Diceros bicornis minor: one gene and its partner. The protein of the gene in region 1 binds, or shares a complex with, the protein of each later gene. Links are inferred from orthologs where the notes say so. Each region holds a gene or a part of one and is shown in the gene's direction. Other genes may lie near its edges. The genes, in order: SATB1 and HOXB2.

Region 1 (7,535 bases):
GTACATGATGAATATTTATTGAATGAACAAAAAGTTGGATGAATGAATACTTCCAAAAGAATTTTTTATTTGTGTTATAAGATTTTGACACTTAAAATAAGGGAAGTAACTACTCAAACCAAATTTCAAATTTTGATAATGATCATGACATCTTCAGATAATAGTTCTTGAAAGTTCCTGTTCATTGTACCCTTTCCAGAAAACAAGTAAATATACAAAGAGTAACTTAAAATTGATAGGGTGCCACACTTTAGGGGGAGAGAGCTGGGACTGCAGTGCTGTATTCAAAGAGAGAGTAGGTGGTGAAAGAAGCCACTTTGTGACTACTTTCTCCCTCTCTTATAGGGAGATAACGCTATATCTCCCTATAAGCTGGTGGCCCCTCAGGCAGTGTTTACCCTGAAGAATGGGACATTTGGGGCACAAAGCGGCAGGAAGAGATCCTGTAGCTGGAGGCTATCATGTGGACAAGGGTCACTACGAGTATGGTAGTCCTTAGAGCTGTGCACCACAGGTCTCTACTTTTGGGCACAAGGTAGGCTGCACCATCTGGCCTCGTTGTGACGATTCCATGGAGCCAGGCAACTAGTCCTGGCCAATTAGTTGTGAGCCCAAATGATGCATGTCACTTCTGCCCACAGCATTTAAATGCCAGCATGAGACCCACAGAGTGATCTTTATTTTTGCCATAGCAACATAAAACATTCAAGATGGCAACTGTTTCATCAGCCTAGGACCCTGAATATGGAGACATGGGACAGACCAGGTGACCTGCAATGTACTCATAGCATGACCAGGAAAACAACTTTTGCTGTTACAGGCCACTAAAAATCGGAATTGTTTGTCACTTTGGCATAACATAGTCTATTCTGACTAATACAACAGATTTCCTCTGTTTTGCTGCAAACGGCAGAACTAAGACTGGTGGTCAAAAGTTTCAGAAAGACCAGTTCTGTGCAATTTAAGAAAAAAGGTAATACAGTGTACAAAGATGGAATGAACTACTTAGGATCTTACTCATTCATTCCCACAATGCACATCGAACTCTACTCTGTGCTAAGTATTCTGTAGATAAAATCCCTGCCTTTATGGAGGGAAGTGGTGAGTTCTCCTTCACCCAAGATGTTTGCACTGACGGCCCCTAAAAGGTTTGACGGGACAAATTAACTTTAAAAATACCCTCCAACCTGGAGCTTCAGCATGTCTATTTCCTCTGGTCTAAAAGAGAAAAAAAATCTATTTCCTCAAGTATTCCTTTGATTCAAATCATTTACTGATCCATTGAGTTGTCTTTTCACATTTTAATGTCATTTTTCCAGCAAATAAGTGCCTTAAAGTCCAATGCTGTTTTATCCTTCCTCTATATCTTTCTTATCCTATTTAGTAGGCAATACTTTATTGTCTATTCTCCTAGGAAAATAATCAGCTTTTGACACTAGCTATTATTAGTGACCATCTGATATGTTTCCGGTTTACTTGTCTTTAGTAAGTTAGATTCCGACTTGTTAAAAAAATCTAGGTGCACAAATGTATTACCCTAATAACTTTCCGGCAAAGTGCCTTTTTCTTCTGAAAGAAGCCCTAGCCCTGTACTATTGAATTTGTGGCCAATTACAATATTTCATTAACATCTTAATTCAGTAAGTATTTAATGTATTCCTACTATGCGCCAGGGGGCAACGTTTACATAAGAGTTTATCAAGATATGTTACTTAATGTACTGTACCCACCATTACACAATTCTGTATTATAATAGAACCTATGAGTTCTCTGTATAAGACCAGTTAGGGGGGAAAAAAGCAAATTCAAAAGGTTGGGGCAAAATGTTCCCTTGATTTAATGCAGGGGAACATATCACACCTTAAATTCTAGGGGCTTAGTTGATAACTTGGGGGAGTAGAAGAGTATGTAAGAGTGTGTAAGGGAGAAAAAATAATTCTTTTTCTGTATTTCAATTTTTATTAAGCTTCATTTCAGGCTTTCAGAATTGGAGAATCAGCTGCCTGCTACAAGAAATTGCTAATAAGCAGTAGTAATTAAAGACTGAGAATTTATTCTTTCTGTTCCAAACCTGATGTCATCCCCAGATGGAGATATTGGTACTGGTTAGGCAATTCAGCATTTTGGTAAATTAAGGCAGGAGGATTTGGTGTCTCCTGGGTGGTGTGGAGGCAGAAAGTGTTCCAGTAAGAAAAATTTGTGTTTCATTTTCTTTGCCCATTGCAATCATTTATACTTTTTTCCTTTGCCTTATAGAACCAGGAGTTGAGGTGGGCACTTAAGTCTTAAAAATCAGGGCTAGTACTCTAAAAACACTAACTCACAAACTTCTTATATTCTTATGTCTTTGGAATTGTTGTCTCTGCATAAATGACAATCAACTGAAAAAGACGGATAAATTCCAGCAAATTCAATACTGATTGATAGAAAAGAACTGGCATGTCAGAAAGCAGCATGACTACACTGTGCTACTCTCCTTTATTTAGAAAAACCGCACAAAAATACAGCACAGTTGATGTGTTTGTTACCAGAACTTGAAAGTAGAATCAGCCACTGTGTAAAAGATAAAATAAGACTGCACGGATAACAGGATTTTCCCAGCATGCTGTACTTTGTTCATAGACATCTGATAGAAGAGGACCTAACAGAGCTTTTAGGAAAAACTGAATTCTCAGCCCACAGTCACTTTCCAGGAACTTCACTGCAAACAGTACTCTGCGCTGGCGGGATGGAGATCTTAGCAATCTCACTCCTGCTTCCATAGTTTCCTTCTCTCTAAATACAATTCTTTATGGGGACTTAATGAGAGAGCAAGCTTTGTGTGAAAGGAACTCAAGAAAGTGCAGCTTCTAAAAATATACCGAGGCGGCTCTACAGTCCTTATTATTACTGAGGTTTTGCCGTTCATGCCATGAACCTAACAACTCCACACACACACAAAGAAAAAAAGTAATGACTATGTTTTTTCTTTCTGCAATCCCCTAAACTTTGAGTAAACAGTAGTAATTTTCTGTTGTCATACTCAATGCAAATTTCCTTAAAACGACACAACACATAACAAAAGACCTGTTAGCAACCTTAGAGCTGGGGGAAGAATGGTAGGAGGAGAGGGGCAAAATTGACCTAGGTCCAGCTTCTCCTGAGCCTGGGGTGCTGACCCTCCAGTCACTCTGATCTTGCAGACGTTTTTGGAGTTTCAGTCTCCTTTTGGGAAGGTTCCCAGGCCCCTTCTCCTCTGCAAGTCCCCCAATCATTAAATCCTTATCTCTCGCCGTCTCTGCTTCCAGGTTTTTGGAGAAATTGGACCTCAGCTTAGGCGTCTTTTTTCCAGTGGGTTGAAGTACAGCTGCTGATGGGAGGATAAATATTAAATGGGCAGGGGTGCGGCGTGAGGGTCTGCAAGAGGGCCCCCTCCTCCTTCCGCCACGTTGGGATGCAGCGCTCCTGGATGGGGCGCTGAGAGGGGCGAGGGTGGGGTGAAAGGACATGGACAAGGCAGGCTGTAAGGGAAGGAGGCCCTCTAGGAAAGATCATCTCGGCTGAACATGACAAGAGAAAAAAATTGGCCCACATGCCCCTAGTGGGGAGCGATACATCCCACGCAGGCTGGTTGGGGGGGGCTGCATCGGGGCTTCTCACCTGACTTCCTCCTCCGCTGGCACACACACTACAATCACCACTTCCCCCCCTCACCCCCCCCAAAAAAAAGCTCAGCCAAACAACCAACAACAAGAGGAAGCCGCAGGCGGCAAGAGGAGGGGTGCGCGCGGTGGGGGCCCCGGAGTGGTGAGGGGGCAGGGTGGCGAGCGTCGAGAACCGCGCCGCGCACCCCCAGGCGCACTCCCAGGCGCCCACACTTACCCCTGGCAGCTGAGGGTCCGGTCTTCGGCGCCAATCCCAGTGCGCGTCCCCCGCCCGCCCTCGTCTCTCCGGCCCGCCGCCCCCCACGCCCCGGCCGGCGCGCTGGGAGGGAGCCTGGGAGCGGCGCGCGGCAGCGGCGGCGGCTCGGGCTCGGCTCGGCTCGGGCTCCAGCGCGCCTAGTGGTGCCGCCGGCCGCCGAGGCTCCACCGCCAGGGGGAGAAGCCGGGGCGGGCGCTGGGGAGGCGGGTTGGGCCCTCGCCGCCCCTCCGGCCAGCCCGCGCCGCACAAGCTCCGAAGCGGCGGCGACGCGGGGTCCGCCGAGCCCCCGGGCGCAGCGTGCCCGGCCCGAGGAGCCGCGGCTGGATGCGCGCCCCGGGCGGCTGCGGGCTCCCGCGGGGGGCGCCCCGGCCGCTCCGGTGCGCCTCTAGACTGCGGGCGCGGCGACCGCCGAGCCGAGAGCAGCTCCCGCCGGCCCCTTCCCCCTCCCGCCCCCGCCGCCGCCCCCTCCCCCTCCCCCCTGTTAACATCTCCTCCCTCCCCCCCTTCTCTTCCTTCCCTCGGCCCCGCGCGCTCGCTCGCTCGCTCCTCGCCTCGCTCTCCCCTTTAAACGCCCACTTCGGATGGGGAAAGAAGACAACTTGAAGTCAAGTTGCAATTAACTTCCGCGGCAGCCGCAGCTCCGGCGGCGGCGGCACAAGAGGCAGAAGCCGCCGCCTCGGAAGTCCGACGCCGGCGCGCCCGCCCGGGGAGCCGTTCCTGGTCTCCGGCCCGCACTCGACAGCCACCGCCGCCCCCAACGCCCATGCCTGAGTGAGTTGTGCTCTTTTGCCTCTCTTTTCCGCCCCCCCACTCTTGCTTTTTATCTCTGTCTCTCTCTTTTTCCGGAATCGATCCAAACTTCTCTGTAGCACCCACCCCCGGCGCCCCTTGTTGGGGCGGCTCGGCTCTCCTCTCGTGGGCGCCCGGCGGCAGGGGTCTTCCGAGCCCCTTTCTCGCGCAGCCGGATCCCGGAGGGGTGGGCCGGCAGAGTGAGGAAGAGCACCCGAGATGGGAAACTTGAAGATGCCATTCGTTCTCTCTCAGGGTGTGGACACACTAACACACCTGCCCGACAGACCCTGGCTGAACAAACTCCTTCAGGTCATCAGTGTGACTCCTTTTGGAAGAGAAAAGGGGAGTGGAAAAGACCGAAGTCAGCAAACGGGAAAAGGGAGAGCCTCTCTGTGCTCCCCGGAGCCGGGCTGGCAGAAGGGTGCCCGCCGGAGTAGGCTGGGGGAGTGGAAACGTTCCCCCGCCGGATCGCGAGTGAGCTCAGCATCCTTCCTCGGTCCATCTCCGCCTTCCTCCGCCCCCCCACTGGCGCGGCTGGTTGGGAGCGGTGGTGGAGAGGGGCCTGGGAAGTTTGCGGCAACTTCTCCATCCTGGGAGGCACTCGGGCGCCGGGGCGCTCAAGTTGGAGCCGGGAGTTTGAAAGCCGCGGGACTCCGCGTTTCGAGCCCTCGCCGGCTGTAGTGAGGTCCAGAAGGGGTTCCTGGCGTGCTTGGAGGTTATGAGTTGGGCTGGAGGCGGGAAGAGGTGCTGCCCTCTTTGCAGGGACCGAAACATCACAGGTGCGGCCTCGGAGTCCACACCGTGTCTCCCTCCTGCAGTCCCGACCCGAGCGCGGCGGCCTTCTCCGAGCGCTCCACTGAGTCTCCCGGGGCGGCAGAGCGTGGGTTTGGGCAACCACGATGACAGGGACGAAGCAGGCAGGTGGCAGGTCCGGGGAGTGACACGCGTGTACCGGGGAAGGGCACTGAGCGGGACTCTTGGGATGACCTCAGGAGACGGAGAGGGGCTTAGGGCTCTAGCTAGAGGCTTTGGCCCGGACCTCCACCAGGGCGTTGCAAATTTCATTTACAAGTGCCAACCACAGGATCGCCTCTCTAAGTACCCTGGTTGGCAACTTTGACCTTTGCGCCCTTCCTCCGCGAACTTTCTCGGCGGCGTTCCGGATTTCCAGGCAAATGTTTTAAGACTTGGACTCCCATGATAGTAAAAGAGAAGGGAAAACAGAAAGACGTCTTATTCTCAGGAGAGAACCTTTCTGCCCTGGCTGGGGTTCCATGCTTGCGTTCCTGGAGGCCAGGGGACCTGACTTTCCCAAGAAGAGAAGGAGGGGGTAAGAATGAGTCAAACGCTACTGCTCAGTGTCAGGTTTGTCCTAAGTAGTCCCTGAATCTACAGTGTTTGTGCTGCTGATGGAGTAACTCATCCCGTTGAAACTTTATTGAAATTTACACCTTATCTAAAGTGGATTTTCCTGAGATGTCAGGAATGTAAGATTTATTCTATAGTCAAACGTAGCTGCAAAAAACCCGTACTTTAAGACGGAAGAAAGCCAAGGTTGAGGTGTTTGCTCTAAAAACCTTTAATCTGTTGTGTGGTACCAGTGCTACGATTTAGCAGCGGTCCTTTATTTCTATGCGTATTATTTTAGTAGAACAGTAGTACATTCATATACTGGCTGCTCCAGTCTGCTGGCAAACATTAGCATTCAAGCTTACATTTTTGACAAATGTGCAGACAGGAATAGCATGAATAGGCATCTTAAATATTAACAACCTAAGCATCTGTTGTGAAACAAATTTAATATATTTACTGTGTTTTTCTCACATTGTTAGAAAAGGTTATAATAAGTGCATAATTTCAACTTTAGTTAGCAGAAGTAACTGGCTGTATCTTTCACTACCTCTCCAAGTGTTTAACACAATCACCAGACATAAATACTTTAATTAACTTGGTTAGGCACATTATTAAATACACTTTAGACAATGTGCATACTATGTAAAATGGAACAGTAGCAAAATATGTATCCTATTTGTGCACATTTTAAATGACTATACATTTTGTAAATATACCAAGCATGTTTATTCTTCATCTCCATTTGACACTTATTACTTCATATTTTTTCTAATGGAAACAATATTTTAAATGTAGAGTTGTTCGGTCATATGTAATACATAATATGTAAACAGTAGCTATAAAATACAAAGCATTGTTAAATTTGAGTATGGCTACATGTAACGAGATTATACAAGAGAAATAAAAATCACTGCTCAATTTTGTATTCCTTTCTGAATAATGAATACAAATGATGGATGAAAAAACAACAAATAGGGATTTCCCTCCTAAAGTAACTAGTGCCTTAAAATGTGTGGGGGATGGGGGTGCGGGGCAAGGGGAAGGGGAAAAAAGAGATAGAGAAGACCTAAAGAACTTAGAAAAGTCTGAATAGTTATTTCCAGAATCAATGCATTCCTCATTTTCCCACAAGCTGAAATATGTAATAAATAATAGTGCTTTGTATATAAAAGTATTCAAAAGGAATGCCTTTTGTTCAGTTGTTGTAATAAATTAATATATTCTTTGGTTGATAATCTACAAAAGTAGTTCTTTTGTCTCACAGCATCTTAAACAAGAACAACAACAAAATGAATGTTGGTTGATTTCTGCAAGGAAGTCTGTTGCCAGCTATATGAACCTGCGATTGAATAAGATATGATATGCTGAGTGATGGTTAAGAAAGATTACATTAAGTTAGCAAAGACTGAAATATCTGGAGGAGATTTTCAATTATTTTTTCATGTGACAGGTTGTGGATTGTAAATTAGGCCTAAAAGTTCAGGTGACAG
Region 2 (7,466 bases), on another chromosome or scaffold:
TTTTATTTTCTTCTGTTGCTCTCTTGACTTAACGTGAAAACAGGGTATATTTTAACAAACTGTCTGTCCCAGGCAGGGGCTGCTGCTGGGCCTGTGTGCCTTGCTCAACCTCCTGACAGGACACTTTTGTTGCACTTAGAGTTTACATTTTAATGGATATAAAAACAACTGTGAGAGATGCCTGGGCCTGTAGGAGTCCAGCATCGCTCAAAAAGCGTGTGTTCTAGTGAACATTTTCATATATATTTATTGGTTATAGCCTGTTAAAATATTTTCTTTTTTGTATTATTTATCCCCCTACATTATGTATTTATATGAGGGAAAAAATTGTACTTTTTTTAAGTATTTACTTGTTATAAAGGACATTGTGTTTCCTGTCATGTAAAAACAGCTATTTTAGTTATTATTGTACTCTAGAAAAGAGCTGTAGATTTATGTTAAATTCGTACTTATGAGCAATTGTAATTAGTTCTAAAAGGCATGAACTCAGCTCCTAATTGTCACTGTATAGTCCTGAATTTGTAGAATTAGAGTTAATTCTCTCTTGGAACTTTCTTTGTTGTTCCGTAGTTACTTTTTTCCTTACTTAAAAGGGTTGTCTGTCAAACAATTCTTGAATAAACTTTCTGTTAACAATTTTATCTTGTCCTGGTAGTCCAATTTAGATAGCAGAGGGAGGCTGCTGACTGCTCAATTTCCCCCAAGGGAAGAAGGACACTGAAGACCCTCTTCTGGCCTTTTTGTTCACTGCCCAGACCCCTGCCTCCCCCTCGCTGTCTCAGGTTTATATAGTTTTTGTCACTCACAGGAGCCTGGAACATGCTGCCAACTTCTTTAGCTAAGATTTAAGTAACAAGTTGAGGGGGAAAGGACTCTTGGGTGCTCTCTCTAGGTCTTTTTGTTTGGCTTCTTTGCCTCTCAATTTTTCTCCTTCATTGCCCTTTTGTCTTCTCACTCCTTGGCCACAACCTCCTCGCCACCCCCCCCCAACACACTCCCCCAGCAACAAAAAAATCTGGCGTATTAGTGCTTCTTCCATGCAAGCTAAACTTCACAGTTCTCTTCCGGAGCTACAAAGAAGTCGTCACGTGACCCGAAGCCCAACCACCATTGGGTCTAAAATGAAAACAAAGGAAAATGATTAATCTAAAAAAAAAAAAAAAATATATATATATATATATATATATATATATATATATATATATATATAAGGCCTAGGCTTCTCAGGTCAAACCTTAAAACTAAAGTGAAATTAAATCACTAAATAAAACTGGGGGCGGAGGGAGAGGAGGCGCCTTCTATTTCCCCCGCCAGGGAAAGGAGAGAGGAGGAGGGTGGGAGAAGCTGCTGGATCCAAGCGTAAATAAAATGGTCCCTAGGCTAATGTGAGGCTCTGTTTCCACCATCCTTGGGAAAACTTCATTTCTTAGCCAGGGTTCCATAAAAGTTTTATCACATTGGAACGAGGATAGAGAGGGTCTGTCAAAGATGAAATGTCACCGCGCGTCGCTGGAACCGATAAGAGCGAGGAGACAGGGCGGCTGAAATATGGAGCTAATTCGTTGAAAGAGAAGCGATGGCTGCTTGCTGAAGAGTTGCATAATTGTAAGCGATGCACCCGCATTGCTTAATTAGGAGCATATATTTGGTGGTAGTGATGTGGTGGTTGAAGGGGGGAGGGGGGAGTGTGGGTGAGAATCATTCCAGGGCCTCAGCCTTAAAGCGAGGGCTGATTTTCATTTTTATGTTGCATCCTGGCAGTCCAAGGTTAGTAATTACAGTCTTTATGCAACAATAAATAACAATAAAAAAGCAACCTGAATTCTACACCCTCCCCACCACCACCACCACCACCACCACCACCAGCACCAAGTAGGATTTTAACTGGACTGGGCTCATTCAAGCAGCAAGCAATTTAGCATTGGGTCAGGCTATAATTTAAAGGCATAAGAGCGTGCAAAGTTTGACTGGGATCAAATAACGCTCAGCGGTTTTTCTTTCTGTCTGTCTTTCTCTCTCTTCCTCTTCCCTGAATATCATTTTCTGAATGATGTAACTAGATGAAGCGCCATGTTTGGCTCTGGGGGTGGAGTGGATTATGTATCTAGCAGGAGAGAGGCAGGCCAAGAGAGAGAATTCAGCTCCAGTTTGAAAAACAGAGTTTTGGCTTGAAGCTGGAATTACAAACAAGAAAAATAAGGGCTGACTTGGCTTGGTGTCCCCTGCCCTTCTCTCTGCGAAATTCCAGGCACTAACTAAGCAGCCAAAGTCATGGGGAAAATATCTGTTCTGTAAGATTCACAGCACAACAGAGGGGCGCGGAAGCGGTGTCTCTGGGAAGGAGGGTTCTCTTGGCCCTTTTTAACACCCAAGTTTTCTGCTGTTCTCTAATCTGGCTGTAAAATCTGTCAGCAGGGTTAGAGAAAGCCGTATTTCTTGCAGGGACAGTCTCTGCCGGAGTTGTTTCTGAGAGGAGCGTTCTGGGCTCTGCAGCCAGCTGAAGAGGCTGTGAAAAAACTTCCAGGGCTTCTCAACGGGGTGGCCAGAGGGAGAATCCTCTCAGGCCTCAATGCCCAACTTCCAGACAACTACTTGGATTCTTCTGTGTCCACCCCCACCCACAACCCCATCCCCACCTACATCCCCATTTCCACCCCCAAATGGCAAAAATTGCTAGCTTTGGAGCTGGACACAACTGTCTCTGGCCAGTTTGCCCAGTTCAGAGCAGCTCTCTCTGTTCTGAGCCCTCCAGCGCCTGCCACCCCTGGCTCTGCAGCCCCTACCTCCAGCTCCTCTTCCTCCATCCTGGCTCTCCTGCACCCCCACCCTTCCCCTCAGACTTCTCTGTCGTTGTTAAATACTCACCACCACCCACGGACTGTTACATTGACAGAAAGTTTCCAGTTCCAGCTCGGGGGCTGAGTTGCCATTTCTCTGCTAACCAGCCTTCTCTTCCTTGCTGGGCAGGAGAGAGCGAGGAGGGGGAGGGGAGGCCAGAGCCGTGGGAGTTCTCCAGACAAACTTTCCACCCAACTCAGCGCCCTTCCTTCTGTTCCCATTTCCCATCTGTTTCCCGCTCTCCCGGAATCACCTTTCTCTTTTGCTAACACCCTCCACCCCCAGGCCTTTTAAAGGGATGTGGAATTTCTGCTGTTCCCTCTGCTTTCCCAAACAGCCAAATTCTTTGATGCCATCGGAGGGAGCTGTCAGGGGGCTAAGATTGATCGCCTCATCTCCTCTCCGTCCCTCTGACCCACTTATTTAAAAATCTTCCCCCAGATCGACTTTTCATTTTCTGCTTTGAGATCTAGTTTCCCACCGATCGCTTGGGGCCCTGAGTCTTGTGCCCCCTCCCTCCAGTAAATTATAGCACTCTCTGAAGTTCAGACTATCTTGATCCCCTCAAATTAAAAAAAAAAAATTCTTTCCCAAGGGGCCAGAAATGGAATATCATCTCAGTGGTCATTATTTCCATCCCCTCCATGTTCAAGGAATTCTTTCCTGCCAAGGATTTTTTTTTTTTTTACTAGCACAATGGCAAAAATGGGAGGAGGAGTCTCTTTGTCCTAGGGGGGAAGTCCTCCCCCCATACATTGACCTGAGCTTGGAGAGTGCTCTAAGTTCAATTGGTGGCTACCTTCATTCTTGTTCATGTCCCTGGATATAAATGCAGATACAGGCTTGAGCTTTGAATGGGTGCATACGCATCTTAGACCCTGCCTGTTGGGGGGGCGGGGATCATAGATGATGGCAGATGCCACCAGGTGAGGAGGGCAGGTGGACCCAGGGGCAGGGACAGTACTGCAAACACAGAGAAGGGCAGAGAAGGGAACTGACACCACACAGCTACAGAGGCCAGAGATCCAAAAGGACCCCTCACCATCTATCTCACTCCTCTGTGTCAGCCTGGGAGTGCCTGTCGATTTTCCAAGATTTATCTGTTGCTTTTGGGGGGTGGGATGGGGATAGTGGTACTGATGATTGTAAATCTCCTCTCTTCCTAGTGTATTACACGTTAACACTGACCTTTCCCAAAGGGTGGAAGCCTCTTCCTACTACCTTGTCCTTCCACATGGAGATCCTCCCTCAGCTTTCTTTTTGTGTGTTGGGGGTGAGGGTGAGGGTGAGGGGGGAGAGTATGTAAAGAAAGCATTAATTTACTATTAAAAAATATTTGGCAAAAAGGAAGATTTCTCCCTTAGATTCTCCTGTTTTCCAGGCTTCCATAACCTCCCATCCTCTGAAGGGCATGAGACAAAGGTTCCTCTAGCTTTTCGGGAGAAAGGGAGGCATTGGAGAGATGGCGTGTAGGACTGGGGGGCTCATGGTGTCCAGGTCGTGGTCCTCTAGAGTTTTTGAATCAATTAAAGCAAATAATGCTCTCTGTTTTCCACCAGGCCCAGACGAGCCATTGGCCAAAGCCAGTCCCGTGACCACGAATTCCCTGCAATTTCACCCGAGTCCTGAGTTTAATAGAGAGAGTCCCCATACGCTTGTATTTATCAGCAATATACAATTATAAAGGCCCAAAATAAAAAAAAAAAAAAAAGGAGAGAGAGAGAGCAAAATCTCCCCCTCCCGATATCGCTCCATCACATTAACCTGGGGGGGCAGGAGGGGGGGTACCTTCCGATCCTCCCTCCTGACGCCCCCCCCAGCAGGCCCCCTCCCCCACCATTGAAAGCCATGAATTTTGAATTTGAGAGGGAGATTGGGTTTATAAACAGCCAGCCATCGCTCGCCGAGTGTCTGACTTCCTTCCCCGCTGTCTTGGAGACATTTCAAACTTCATCAATCAAGGAGTCGACATTAATTCCTCCTCCTCCTCCTTTCGAGCAAACCTTCCCCAGCCTCCAGCCCGGCGCCTCCACCCTTCAGAGACCCGGGAGCCAAAAGCAAGCCGAAGATGGGCCCGCTCTACCGCCGCCGCAGCTCCCCGCCGCCCCCTTGGCCCCCGAGTTCCCTTGGATGAAAGAGAAGAAATCCGCCAAGAAACCCAGCCAATCCGCCACGTCTCCTCCGGCCGCCTCTTCCGTCCCTGCCTCCGGGGTCGGATCGCCAGCAGGTCGGTAAGAGGGGTAGGGGTGGGGTGAGGGGCAGGTAGAAGAGAGGGAGAGAAAGATCGATGGGGGAGGTAGAAAAGGTGGCGAGCTTGCTGGGGTTCCTTGCCCCCGTGGATTTCAGGGACGAGGAAGCAGAATATACCGCTGAGGTTCAGGCCTGGTCGCTGCTAGCATTTTTTTTTTTTTTTTGTCCTTACAGCAGCTTTTGGAAGCTGGTTGGGGAAGAGCTTTTTCTATGCTAGAAGAAAAGGATTCGATTGAGGTTTTCACCTTTATCTGTGTGCAGGAGTGAATGTGTTGTTGCTGGGGTTGAATCTGGGGGCAGGAAAAGATTCAGTCCCATCTTTCCCAGATCGAAGAGAAGAGGGGGAATTTGAGAGCTAGGAGGAAAAGGGGTGGGAAACCATCTTTCTTTACGAACCCTCTCTCCGGGCTGAGTTGGAAAGTGCCGAATAGAGAGGTCCACTCGGAGGACTTGGGAGGGGGGCTCTGAGGTTCTGGGGGCGAAGAGGAGCCGCTCCCTACCCCCTGCGTGGGCCGTGGGCGGCTCTTTGAATGCTTTGCCCTGACCTGGGCTGGGTCTGCCCGCGAGAGAGACGGGAAAGAACGGAGAAGCAGTGGGAGCGAGCTGCCTAGGTAGGCGGGAAGGAGGGGGGTTGCTACTGATATTGTTTTTGGCAGATGGGGTAAGTCTTTACTTCAGCTGATCTAAGGTTGGGCTGAGGACGCGGTCCGCTTTGACGCCGAGCCTGCTTTCCCTGCAGATGGCCCGGGACTGCAGGAGGCTGCGGGCGGCGGGGCGCGCAGGCTGCGCACGGCTTACACCAACACGCAGCTGCTGGAGTTGGAGAAGGAATTCCACTTTAACAAGTACTTGTGCCGGCCGCGCCGCGTTGAGATCGCGGCCTTGCTGGACCTCACCGAGAGGCAGGTCAAAGTCTGGTTCCAGAACCGGCGCATGAAGCACAAGCGGCAGACGCAGCACCGAGAGCCGCTCGACGGGGAGCCAGCCTGCCCGGGAGCCCTGGAGGACACCGGAGAGCCCGCCGAGGAGCCCGTGGCCAGCCCCGGCTGCCAGTCGGCCTCGCGGGCGGTGCGGGACGCCTGCTCTTACCCGCCCGAGGTCGCGCCGGGGCCCCCGGGCGCCCCGGGCCGCCAGCCTTTGGCCACTCGCGTGGAGGACTCGGGTGCGCCGAGCCCCGGCTGCGCCCTGCGCGGGGCCGGCGGGCTGGAGCCGGAGCCCTTGCCAGAAGACGCCTTCCCGGAGCGGCAGGATTCGCCTTTCCTGCCCGACCTCAACTTCTTCGCTGCCGATTCCTGTCTCCAGCTGTCCGGAGGCTTCTCCCCCAGCCTACAAGGCTCGCTCGACAGCCTGGTTCCCTTTTCCGAGGAAGAGCTGGACTTCTTCACCAGCACCCTCTGTGCCATCGACCTGCAGTTCCCCTGACCCGTTTCCTCCTCCCGGCCCTTTCGACCCCCGCCCCCCTCGGCTGTCTGCTGGAAAACCCGAGGACCCTCCTCCCCAAGTCCTTTAGACTTCTTTACGTGTTTTGCTACAATTCAGGTATTATTGAATTAGCGTTTAATCCACTTCGTTTCTTCTCCCTCTAAAATATTGGGTCTTTTTAAAATCAAAACGGAAAAATTCCGTTTGGTAGACTCCTTCCAACGAAATCTCAGGAATAATTAAACTCCGGGAGGGGGGGCTTTCTTAAAAAACAACTAGAGGAACCTATCCCCCCCTTTTTTTTAAGTTTTAGACCTTAGATTATTTATTAAAATTCTTTAATAATAGGAAAAGGGAAAAGTATTTATTGTACATTATTTTCATAGATTAAATAAATGTCTTTATAATACAAAAACGAGTGTTTGTGTTGGGACCCACCCCGCATCCCCTCAGGACCTGCGCGAGGTTTGTCTGGCCTTGGGCCGGCTGAGTCCGGGTGGTACAAAAGTGCCCCTACTTGGCCGCCGCTTCTCCGCCCGCAGCTCCGGAGAAAGTCTGGAGTTTGCTAGAAGCTCCAACACCTCGCCTCCGCCTAACAGACGGCCTTTGGCCCTGCGCGGGTGTTCCCAGGCCTCTGCTTAGACATAAAGGTGGGCGAGTGGAAGGAGAGGCTGTGTCGCCAACAGAAGAGGGTGCAAAAAGAGGAGGCCTGGGGACTGGCTTGGGAGTCGTGGCGCGGGGCGCAGAGGTTCAGCTGAATTGGGGGGAGCCTAGGGTTCCCCAGGCTTCTCGCCTCAGTGCCCAAAGCGGGGTGGAGGGGCTTTTTTACCCCCACAGGCAGGAAGCCTGGGGACGCGAGGCCTGGGGACATGGGCCGGGCCAAGGAATGGAGTAGGAGTCGGGGGTTTTTTCGGGAAGGAAGGCCCCATGCCCAGGACGGTAACTGGTCTCCAAGT

What was found.
Region 2: SATB1 (region 1) and HOXB2 share a complex: the UniProt entries of both Homo sapiens proteins name them as parts of the nuclear protein complex. The link is inferred for Diceros bicornis minor from reciprocal best matches to the Homo sapiens genes SATB1 and HOXB2.

Annotation. Positions count from the first base shown.
Region 1 is NC_080741.1:24,481,763-24,489,297, reverse strand, and holds the start of SATB1 (DNA-binding protein SATB1), read left to right. Parts: upstream 1-4,474; 5' UTR 4,475-4,671; intron 4,672-7,535. UniProt on the Homo sapiens protein: Crucial silencing factor contributing to the initiation of X inactivation mediated by Xist RNA that occurs during embryogenesis and in lymphoma.
Region 2 is NC_080757.1:37,430,188-37,437,653, forward strand, and holds HOXB2 (homeobox protein Hox-B2), read left to right. Parts: upstream 1-4,686; coding exon 4,687-5,065; intron 5,066-5,827; coding exon 5,828-6,510; 3' UTR 6,511-6,659; downstream 6,660-7,466. UniProt on the Homo sapiens protein: Sequence-specific transcription factor which is part of a developmental regulatory system that provides cells with specific positional identities on the anterior-posterior axis.